Linked DNA regions of Saccharomyces cerevisiae S288C. Changing the gene in region 2 together with the main gene of any one other region gives a genetic interaction. Each region holds a gene or a part of one and is shown on either strand. Other genes may lie near its edges.

What was found.
Region 1: mutations in ARO1 (region 2) and SNF1 together harm fitness more than expected from each alone (negative genetic interaction), as found in Saccharomyces cerevisiae (4 studies listed by BioGRID).
Region 3: mutations in ARO1 (region 2) and CKA1 together harm fitness more than expected from each alone (negative genetic interaction), as found in Saccharomyces cerevisiae (4 studies listed by BioGRID).

Annotation. Positions count from the first base shown.
Region 1 is NC_001136.10:1,410,441-1,414,199, reverse strand, and holds the start of SNF1 (AMP-activated serine/threonine-protein kinase catalytic subunit SNF1), read right to left. Parts: upstream 1,828-3,759; coding exon 1-1,827. Other genes in the region: YDR476C (uncharacterized protein), read left to right, coding at 3,073-3,747. UniProt on the Saccharomyces cerevisiae protein: Serine/threonine protein kinase essential for release from glucose repression.
Region 2 is NC_001136.10:702,421-706,179, reverse strand, and holds the start of ARO1 (pentafunctional protein ARO1p), read right to left. Parts: upstream 1,697-3,759; coding exon 1-1,696. Other genes in the region: palmitoyltransferase SWF1, read right to left, coding at 1,936-2,946; ECM18 (alpha/beta hydrolase family protein), read left to right, coding at 3,422-3,759. UniProt on the Saccharomyces cerevisiae protein: The AROM polypeptide catalyzes 5 consecutive enzymatic reactions in prechorismate polyaromatic amino acid biosynthesis.
Region 3 is NC_001141.2:287,131-290,715, reverse strand, and holds CKA1 (casein kinase 2 catalytic subunit CKA1), read left to right. Parts: upstream 1-1,807; coding exon 1,808-2,926; downstream 2,927-3,585. Other genes in the region: cAMP-dependent protein kinase regulatory subunit BCY1, read left to right, coding at 1-297; CAP2 (F-actin-capping protein subunit beta), read left to right, coding at 627-1,490; CST6 (Cst6p), read right to left, coding at 3,287-3,585.

The DNA.
Region 1 (3,759 bases), 710 kb from region 2:
AGTACTCATTTCATCTTCAGAAATATTAGAAACAGTAGTATCATCTCCATAACTACTTTCCCAGCCGTCAAATTTGAAATCCACCAAATAATTATTGGTTTCAATTTGAAATAATTGAATTACCATTTTCATTAAATCAGGTATTTTTTCATTAGTGTTTGTCTTGTTTCCAATATCATATTTCCACCTTAATTTGATAGTCCATAAATCCTCTTCAGATGGCTTGGCCCATTCGGCACCCAAATTCTTCAAGGCAATATAAATTTCACCCATAACGTCTAATGGATATGAGCGAGATCGTATACCAAAATGCCATCTCGTTTTAGATTTTTTCGTTACAAGAGGAGATATTTTAGAGGCAGCTGGCGAACCTTGTGCTAACATATTAGCTCTGTGGATCTGAGGTAAAGATGTAGGCAAAATGGAAACTGTAGAGTCTTCTTCTTTATACTGATCCATGAAGGGTGATTGGTGATATGTCCTTTGTTGAGTGATAGCACTTGCCATCCTTCTTGCGTGTTGCTTGGCAGTTTCATGATCTACTTGACTCTTTTGATGGGATTTGCTTTGTTGTTGAAAAGTTGGAGGTGACTGGGACAGAAAGGTATCCAGTTCATCACTGACGCTTTTGTTTGCCTTCATATCCTTGATCAAAGATTTATTCTCCTTAATCAACATGTACGCGTCCCTAATTTCGTTGAATGCAGGAGTGTCTTCTGATGATTCTAAGGACTCATAAATCTCGTCTTTTTCGTAACCCATGGTCGATGATAAAATATTGACAAGGTTGTCATCAATTTCATCGTTATCTGGGCTGCTGCCATCCTTTTTTGAGTCATTATTTTCATTCTCTTCTTCTGGGTGTGGTTTCAAATCTGGTGGAAGTAGATATTCTGGCAGGTCAACTTTGAACCAATCGTCTTGCATAATTTCATGAATGCTTATTCTGTTCAATGGATTAACGATTAACATTCTTTTGATTAGCCCAGCAGCTCCAGGAGATAAAAATTTAGGCAAGGTGTAAACACCGTTGCTGATATTCTTGAAAAGCACTGGGATGCTTTCATCGTCAAACGGTAGACGACGACAAAGCATAACATAAAGGATAACCCCACATGACCACACGTCCACTTCTGGGCCTGCGTACAGCTTACCGCTGATAACTTCAGGAGCCGCATAATTGGGAGAACCACAAGAAGTCTTTAAGAAATTACCATCAGTCATGATGTTTGACAAACCAAAATCGGCAATCTTTACATTCAGATGCTCATCTAGTAGTAAGTTTTCAGGCTTCAGATCTCTATGGACAATTTTGTGCCTATGGCAGTACTCGACGGCACTGATGATCTGCTGGAAAAATCTTCTTGCCTCTTGCTCGCTCATTTTGTCTCTCTGAACAATATAGTCAAACAATTCGTTCCCGGCGTACTCTATAACCATAATGATTTCATCTTTGGATTTGATAACATCATACAGTTTGATGATGTGGGGGTGTCTTAAGAGTCTCAGATAAGATATTTCTCTTTCAATTCTGCCCTGCATATCACTCTTTGCCAAAACCTTCTTATTAATGATTTTTAGAGCAACTTTTTGGCCCGTAGTGGTATGATATGCCAATTTAACTTTACCAAAGGACCCCTCTCCCAGCGTTTTGACGATTTGGTAGTTCCCGATATGTGCACCATCCGCTAAGGACGACTTGGGATTGTTTAGCGTCGAGTTGCTTCCGCCATGACCGTGATGGTGGTGGTGATGGTGGTGATGGTGGTGGTGGTGGCTAGAATTTGCATTGGCAGGTGCTGTGTTTGTGTTGTTGTTACTGCTCATGTTGACTTTATTAAGGGAGTGTAGCAAAACTTGTTACAAAAAAAAACTTCTATTTCTTTCGCTATGATTATTGAAACAGCCTCTATATATTATCAAAAGCCAATGACACTGAAACAATTTCTATTGTCGTGCTTTTTTTTTTTTTTTCAGGCTTCAATCTATTGTTTATCGTTATACTTCCTGAATGACTGTTTGGACACGAATGCGCAGTAAGAGGAAATGTGAAAAAAGAATATTTCGATAAATGAAAGTTCTGGTAACAAGCCTACAGTACTAAGCCCAAAGCTATGTCTTGGCCCCTATAACGCTACCTGTTGATGTGCCATACTCTTACCAACTTTCTTTTACGTTAAAAATTTCCATCCCCTTCCGCTACGAGAAAAACTGCAGAGGGTAACTATGACATGTACTTTCTAATATGGGCCTATAAGGACTATATACATATGACTAACATTGAGTAAAACCAGGTCTCGAGTCCCATCATCACGCCCATCCTTTTGCATCCACGCCGCCACGCAATTCCTCTTTTTTTGAAGTTACTTGCGTCATGTGGGACATCATATGGGACATCATAGCCTGCAAGATCGAGAGTTAAATATACGACTAAAAGAAATAGTAGCACACTGCCATTTCCAGCTTTTAGTCCCTTGGGGAAGGTTCAGCATTTGATAGCAAATGATTGTACAGTTTATAACCGTATCTAAACGTACGGACATGTTTTTTCCTAGGGCCTCTATTAAAAAAATCTTTGAAATTTCCCTTCAATGCCACCCTTTTTTGCCAGGCATTGGTGGCCATGATTTGTTATGGCTTCCAAGAAAAGGTTTTACTACAGACGCCTTTACTACAGAAGATGCCTCTTCCTATCGTGATTTGCCCTCCAGACAAAAGCCGCGGACATAACGATGGCGGATTGCATTAGACAATGATTGCTATACGGAGGCGAAAGAGATAGCTAGCGACTTCTTAAAGGCGACATTGCTCCGCTACAAACGTGGTGGAGTTTTAACCCTACGAATTCAGTTACAAGGTTGAAGTTAGTGAGCAGCTTCTGTTCTGCCGTTTCTTGCGCAGTCTTGAACTTTCTTGGTCTTGCCATGTGGTCGGGATATTCTGTTCGTTTATAATTACTCCTTGCCACAAAGTGCACACCTATTTGGATATGGTATATATAAAGAGTGGAGGCTTATATCGGCGAGAGCGTGCGTTCTATCAACTCAAGCAAGTATACGGGTATACACAAGTATGTGGGATTCGTTAATTGTAAGCATCAACGATACGCACAAGTTGGGGCTGGAGGATTGTCTCGCCGTTTTTGGCCACGTTCCCATTACCAAGGCCGTCAAGCATGTCAGACTGACAGAGATCGACACGCAGACGTCCACGTTTACGCTCAAGTTCCTTCACACAGAAACGGGTCAGAACATCGAGAAGATTATCTACTTCATTGACAATGACACGGGCAACGATACCCGCACTGCTACCGGAATCAAGCAAATCTTCAACAAGATGTTCCGCATCGCTGCGGAGAAGAGGAAGCTGTCGCTCATCCAGATCGACACTGTTGAGTACCCCTGCACTCTAGTAGACTTGTTGATCCTGGTAGGCGTGGCGCTACCGCCATTGTGCTACCTCTATCGTCCTGCACTGCACGCTATCTTTTTCCTGGTCCCTAATCCTGTGGGCTCCACCTTAGAGGCGTGGCTGGATAGTGATCTTGTGCTGCGACTCATCATTGTTGCCGAGTTCCTGACTCACGCCCTCGAGACGCTCATTTTCGTCGTCCCTAGGCTCAAGTACTACCGTGTTCCTGGCGAGTTCGTGCCCGAGTGGCTTCTTCTAGGTCTCCTCGAAGGTTACGGTCCTGCGAGACGTCTAGATACTAAGGCTCGCACTCTTGGCGAAGGGTCAGTTAATTAGTCCGAGGCCTTT
Region 2 (3,759 bases):
AATCAGTATAAACTTTGATTGGCAGGGAACCTTCATTATTCAAGTACTCAATTTTAGTACCATTAGCACGCAAAGAATCGACCAAAGGAGCAATTGGTCTTTGTTGCATTCTTGCGTTACCAGTTAAAACGATATACTTTTGGCTTGAAGTAGAATTGACCAAGGCAGCCAAGGAAGTCAAAAATCTAGATGCAGTACCTGCATTACCTAGATATAAGGGGTCAGCACAAGCTGACAATGTGGAACCACCATGTCCTTCCACCACTACCGTCTCACCATTATCTTCCCATGATATCGTAGCACCTTTCAATTCATGAACAGCGGTTAACATATGTTTAGTATCATCAGAATGTAATAAGTTCTTGATTTTACATTGACCTTCACCGAGGGCAGCAAGAATTAAAGCACGATTGGAGATGGACTTAGAACCAGGGGGGATAACAACTTTCTGTTGATCAGCAGGGATGTCCTTGAAGGGGTAAACGAGGGTTTCATCTGTTAGAATAAATCTCAGGTCTTCATCGCTAACAAATTGAGCGGAGTCACCATAGCACTTACCAATACTTTCTAAAATGACCACCTTCTTTTTGGAACCCTCGTTTTTCTTGTCAATACTCATTTTCTTCAATAAGATATCCAATGGTGTTTTCTTATGTAAGGTTAGCTCTTTAAACCATTTCTCATCAGGCGAAACAGGCAACCCGTAGGCAACCAAAATCTTGGATAGACGTGCAACTTGGGTAGGGGAGAGAATACCGAAATAACGGGATAATTCCGCCTCTTTAACCATACCAATGGACACACATTCACCATGTAATGCTTGTGGGGTTAGTATAGCTTCATAAGCATGACCAATAGAATGTCCGAAGTTCAAAAGGTTTCTTAGACTGGATTCACGTTCATCCGAAGAGACAACTTCCGCTTTGACCTTAATACTCTCAAGAACTAACTTATATGTATGATCCAACATAGCTTCAATATCTGTATTCGATATCTCGTCAATCTCGTTTGTCAATTGATTGGTAACCTTGACATTTTTTGCCCCATTAACAACATTTAAGAACAACGAAGCGTTTGATTCTAATCTAGTAAATTCGTCAGCGTTCCAAATACAAGCAGTCTTGATAACTTCTGCCATCCCATTGATAAACTCTCTCTTGGCTAACGTTTCTAGCCATTTAATATCTACAAGGACAAATTTTGGTTGCCAAAATGCACCAATAAAGTTTTTACCTAGAGGAGTGTCAATAGCAGTTTTACCACCAATGGAGGAATCGACCATTGCCAATAAGGATGTTGGTACTTGGACAACACGAACACCTCTCATAAATGTAGATGCAACGAACCCAATCATGTCACCAATAACACCACCACCGATCGCTACCATAACCGTATCACGAGTACATCCTTCCACTAAAAGATAATCTTCTAGCTGCGCTTTGGTTTCTCTACTTTTACTTGTCTCACCTGGTTTAACAACATAAGTAAGTAAACGAGAGCCTTCTGGCAAAGAAGCCTTGAATTCCAGGACTAATTGCTGGTAGTATGGAACTTTACTCAAGTTCGTATCATTGCAAATAACGTATGTCGAAGAAGGACAATGTTTAATTATGGTTTCAACCAAATGGTCATGAATGTTATACCCAACGTGGATAATATCATTTCCTAGAATTGGGACTTTGGCTAACTGCACCATCGTAATATACAATTATCTTACGTAGGGATTTCTCAACTAGGAGATTATATAAACTTGAACGACCGAGTATAGCTGTGATCTGTTACTAATGGTTACGAGTCGGCGTCCTACCTTCTATATTAATAAACCGCTTGTATAATGAATTTGTTCGACATTTGCGGTTAGAATCTATGGCGGTGAGAAAAAACCGAGTGAAAAAAAATTTCATGTTCGGGATGAGTCATATGCATGACAATTTACTATATTAAATCTGTGAGATTGGCCAGGAAGGTACCTTTGTCATATATATTGGGAATTTCGGACGCGTCTTTAATCGTGATGTAGTGTGTAAGGTTGTAGTGCTTATGGTCGTAGGCATTCGTGCTATAAAACGTAACATGTTGATCTTGGAGTGGTTCAGCAGCGTCATCTTTTTGTTCTGTGCATTTGAAAAACCAAGATGGGCAATCATCATCCAATGATCTCACCAGTTTTCCTTCTCTCATATACTCTTGAATGGTATACCATTTATCTTGCTCATTTGTAGTCATTCCCTCCTTTACAATGGCCAATTGAAGATACGTGAAAATAGCGCAGATGATAGTGAAGCATCCACATAATATGGTAAGAGTCAGAACAGCTCTAGGGAGCGTACTTGTGCTATTTAAAGAAATGTACCACAGCCTTAGAAAGGCGTAGCACATCGAGAATATGTTGGAAATTAGGAAAAGGTAGAATTGAAGGTAGTTTCCCTTTCCGATGCAGTTATTTATCCAGATGCAATGATGGTCGGCGACGAGAACGCATCGGTTGCAAATGCTACAATGTTTGGATCTAGCAGGCTTGACGATCCGGCATGTCGAACACTTTATGGCAGGATAATACAATAGGTAATCATATGGATATTCCTCTGTCGAGCCTGATTTATGATCCTTTGAATCCTCAGCTCTGCTTACCATGGCTAGAATTCCTAATGCTACCGGCGGTAGTATAATTATAGGCACGATCAGTATTCGTTCTAAAAGGAATAGCTCATTCTTAATCGTAGACTCCACTCTCATGTGGTATGTATATACTAGGTACAGGTAAATAGAGGTGTAGAAAAGAGGTACTAAATGCAACTTCCAACGATATTTTTGGTCATCCACTAGGAAGGGCTGAAACACATTACGATAGAAAGTCGAAAATGGCCATGTTGACTTGAAGACGGGCGAAAGTAATATCAAAACTACGAATCCTATTAGCAGCACAAATAGTAGATTCCATGACATTGTTTGTTCTTTTCATGTTAGGAGACAAAGATATCTTCTTTGGAGGCATAATGAAGTTTTTTTTAGGAAGGCGGAAGTATATATACAATGACACTACCTTTGTTGATAGCTACGAATTTCCTAAAGAGAAAGTATATTGTAGTATTTATATGAGTTGCATAGTACGTTATTCAAGGATAAAATGCCGAATAAATGCTTTAGATGATTTAAAATTCTGTATCGGATGGTTTTAATTAAAAAGTTTCGTTGGAGGTTTTCACCTCATTTTTGAAAAATAAAAATTCAGACCAAAACATTAATTATTTTGGCTTTGAATATACTGACCTCCTGGAAAGCCCTTGGACATTACTAAAATTGAGACAACTGTTTCGATTCCAGCTTAGAACTCCACAGAGCTTCACATGTTTTACACCTCTATTTATATATTCTGACAGTTTCCTTATGCCTTTCCAGTTTAAGGATGAGCGAATGAAAAATGCTTTTAATAAAGAGGTACTTGATGGACCCTGAAAGTTTAAGGAGGCAGATAATGAATGTATATAAATGTTACATGTGGAAGAGAGCGTTCCACAGTAATAGAAGCCTACTGGAAGTTAAACGTCGTGAAAAGAGTCTCCAGAGAAAAATTTTGGAAAGGATTCTTAGACCCAAGGAGGAAAATGCTGTCAAAAAATCTGGATTCAAGCTATGGTCAAGCCATTTGAATAACCCACACAAAACTTATATGCGGCTGGAGGAATTACAGAGACGTATTATGGAAGAGGTACACGTTGAAGGTATTAAAAAGAATGATAAGTTATTCAACGAAATAAA
Region 3 (3,585 bases), on a different chromosome or scaffold from region 2:
GATACCAAGATCTACCAGCCGGGTGAAACAATCATTCGCGAGGGTGATCAAGGGGAGAACTTTTATTTAATTGAGTACGGAGCTGTGGACGTCTCTAAGAAGGGCCAAGGTGTCATAAATAAACTGAAAGACCATGATTATTTCGGTGAAGTGGCCTTGCTAAACGATTTGCCCAGACAGGCCACTGTGACTGCTACAAAGAGAACCAAAGTTGCCACATTGGGGAAAAGTGGTTTTCAACGTTTACTGGGTCCTGCAGTAGACGTATTAAAGCTCAATGATCCTACAAGACATTAAGTAAAAAGGGGAAGCGATCTTAAATCCACATGAATTTCCTTTCTCTTTTTCTTCTTCTTCTGTTCCCTTTTTCTTTCTTCTTCCTTCAACGTCTACGTAAATATAATGTATAACATCTCCACTTTCCTTTCCCTTATAGCGTTATGTTACCTGTTTAAACTCTAAATTCTTCATCTACTACTGCTGTTACTACATGTATATATGTTCATTTTTTTTTTTTTTTTTCACCACGGAAAACGTAAAAATGAGAGCATTTGTAACAAATAAAGGAGAACTGTTCAATCAAGTGACATACAAAAACTCTCTCCAACTCTACAATCACCACCGTAATGTCTGATGCTCAATTCGATGCTGCTTTAGATCTTCTTAGGAGGCTAAATCCTACCACGTTACAGGAGAATCTAAACAACTTGATCGAATTACAACCAAATTTGGCACAAGATTTACTATCTTCAGTAGACGTTCCCCTATCCACACAGAAAGATTCCGCCGATTCAAACCGGGAGTACTTATGCTGCGACTATAATCGTGATATTGATTCGTTCAGATCGCCTTGGTCGAACACTTATTACCCAGAACTATCCCCAAAGGATCTACAAGACAGCCCCTTTCCCTCAGCCCCTTTAAGAAAATTGGAGATCTTAGCCAATGACTCTTTCGACGTTTACAGAGATCTCTATTATGAAGGCGGTATCTCCAGCGTGTACCTCTGGGACCTCAATGAAGAAGATTTCAATGGGCACGATTTTGCAGGGGTAGTGCTTTTCAAAAAAAACCAATCAGATCACAGTAATTGGGACAGTATCCATGTTTTTGAAGTTACAACATCTCCTTCTTCTCCCGACAGTTTCAACTATAGAGTCACCACTACAATCATTCTGCACTTGGACAAAACAAAAACTGACCAGAATTCTCATATGATGTTATCCGGGAACCTGACAAGACAGACCGAAAAGGACATCGCTATTGATATGTCCCGTCCATTAGATGTTATTTTCACATCACATGTCGCTAATTTGGGTTCCTTAATTGAGGACATTGAGTCTCAGATGAGAAATCTATTGGAAACTGTTTATTTCGAAAAGACAAGAGATATCTTCCACCAAACAAAGAACGCAGCCATTGCTTCCTCTGCTGAGGAAGCGAATAAAGACGCACAGGCAGAGGTAATCAGAGGTTTACAGTCTTTATAGAAATATTTACATGTATCGCTGGTATATCATATAAATACATACAGCAGCACTAAGTGGTAGAAAAGCGCTATCAAAAATCACTCGGAACGAACACTGAAGAAAAAGCGAAAAATCAAAAATATGACCAACGCTTGGAAAATTTCAGTAGCAATTAGACGAACCTCGCAGTCCTGTAGTAAAACGGATTAAGGGACTTCATATACTGTTGATACTCGGTGTATTGCAATTACCTACTAGGAGTTTTCTGAATAGGGACTTAAGAAGTCAAATATACAGACAAAAATAGGGGGTTGTAGAAGGAATATTTGATTCGAACTATGAAATGCAGGGTATGGTCAGAGGCTCGTGTTTATACGAATATCAATAAACAAAGAACCGAGGAATATTGGGATTATGAAAATACTGTAATTGATTGGTCCACAAATACAAAGGACTATGAAATTGAAAATAAAGTTGGGCGAGGAAAATACTCCGAGGTTTTCCAAGGTGTCAAATTAGACTCTAAAGTTAAAATTGTTATTAAGATGTTGAAACCAGTTAAAAAGAAGAAGATCAAGAGAGAAATCAAAATCTTAACGGATTTGTCTAACGAAAAAGTGCCTCCAACGACTTTGCCATTTCAAAAAGATCAATATTACACAAATCAAAAGGAGGACGTTTTAAAATTCATCAGGCCCTATATCTTTGATCAGCCACACAATGGTCATGCAAACATAATTCATCTATTTGATATAATAAAGGATCCCATCTCAAAAACTCCGGCTTTGGTCTTCGAATACGTAGATAATGTGGACTTCCGTATTCTTTACCCTAAATTAACCGATCTCGAAATTAGGTTTTATATGTTTGAGTTATTAAAGGCCTTAGACTATTGTCATTCAATGGGAATAATGCATAGAGATGTTAAACCTCATAACGTAATGATTGATCATAAGAATAAAAAATTGCGATTGATAGATTGGGGGCTTGCTGAATTTTATCATGTTAATATGGAATACAATGTTCGTGTTGCGTCGAGGTTTTTTAAGGGTCCTGAACTACTAGTTGACTACAGAATGTATGATTATTCTTTAGACTTGTGGTCGTTTGGGACAATGTTGGCTTCTATGATCTTTAAAAGAGAGCCATTTTTCCATGGAACGAGTAACACAGACCAGCTTGTCAAGATCGTCAAAGTACTTGGTACAAGCGATTTTGAGAAATACCTGTTGAAGTATGAAATTACCTTACCGAGAGAATTTTACGATATGGACCAATACATCAGAAAGCCTTGGCATAGATTCATCAATGATGGTAATAAACATTTAAGCGGCAACGATGAAATTATTGACCTTATTGACAATCTTTTGAGATATGATCATCAAGAAAGATTAACTGCTAAGGAAGCGATGGGACACCCGTGGTTTGCCCCAATAAGGGAACAAATTGAAAAATAAGAAATAAATAATGAATGAAATAAAAAAAAAAAAATCACTGACAAACGATATAACGATTACTTTTTTTTACCATCTGTACAATTGTACTTAATTCTAATAGATTTAAAAAACTAAATACAGGTTTAAAGGGCTTCCTCCATACAACAGAGGCAAGGAGGACTAAGGGGTTGACACGAGCAAATTTCATACATGCAAAATAATAATGTCTTAAAGGTAATTTATACCATAAATGTAGTAACTAAACGAAATAATAACGGCAGAAAAGAAAGGATGCAGCTCGAGTATTTATACACGTATATTACATATATAGTTGTCCTTATCATTCTTGAATGAAACACCGTTGTGCTCACCAAAACTTTGTTATTTTATCTTTTCAGAATTGGGTAATGATTGGTTGTCTGGATCCTTACCACCTTCTACGGGCTTGAGATCTATATCGTCATCGTCAGTATCGCTTCCGAAACGTTGAGAGTATGGCTCGTGCTTGATGGCTATGATCTTACCAGTATCTTTATCCACTTCTGTAACGTCTGAATCGATCATTAAAAGTTCTTCAATGATCTTTAATGAATCCACAGTCATGCTTTCATTTTTGTTGCTACTATTAGTGCCATTAACATTATTATCTGAGTCTTTATTTAGTTTTTCATGTTCACGTA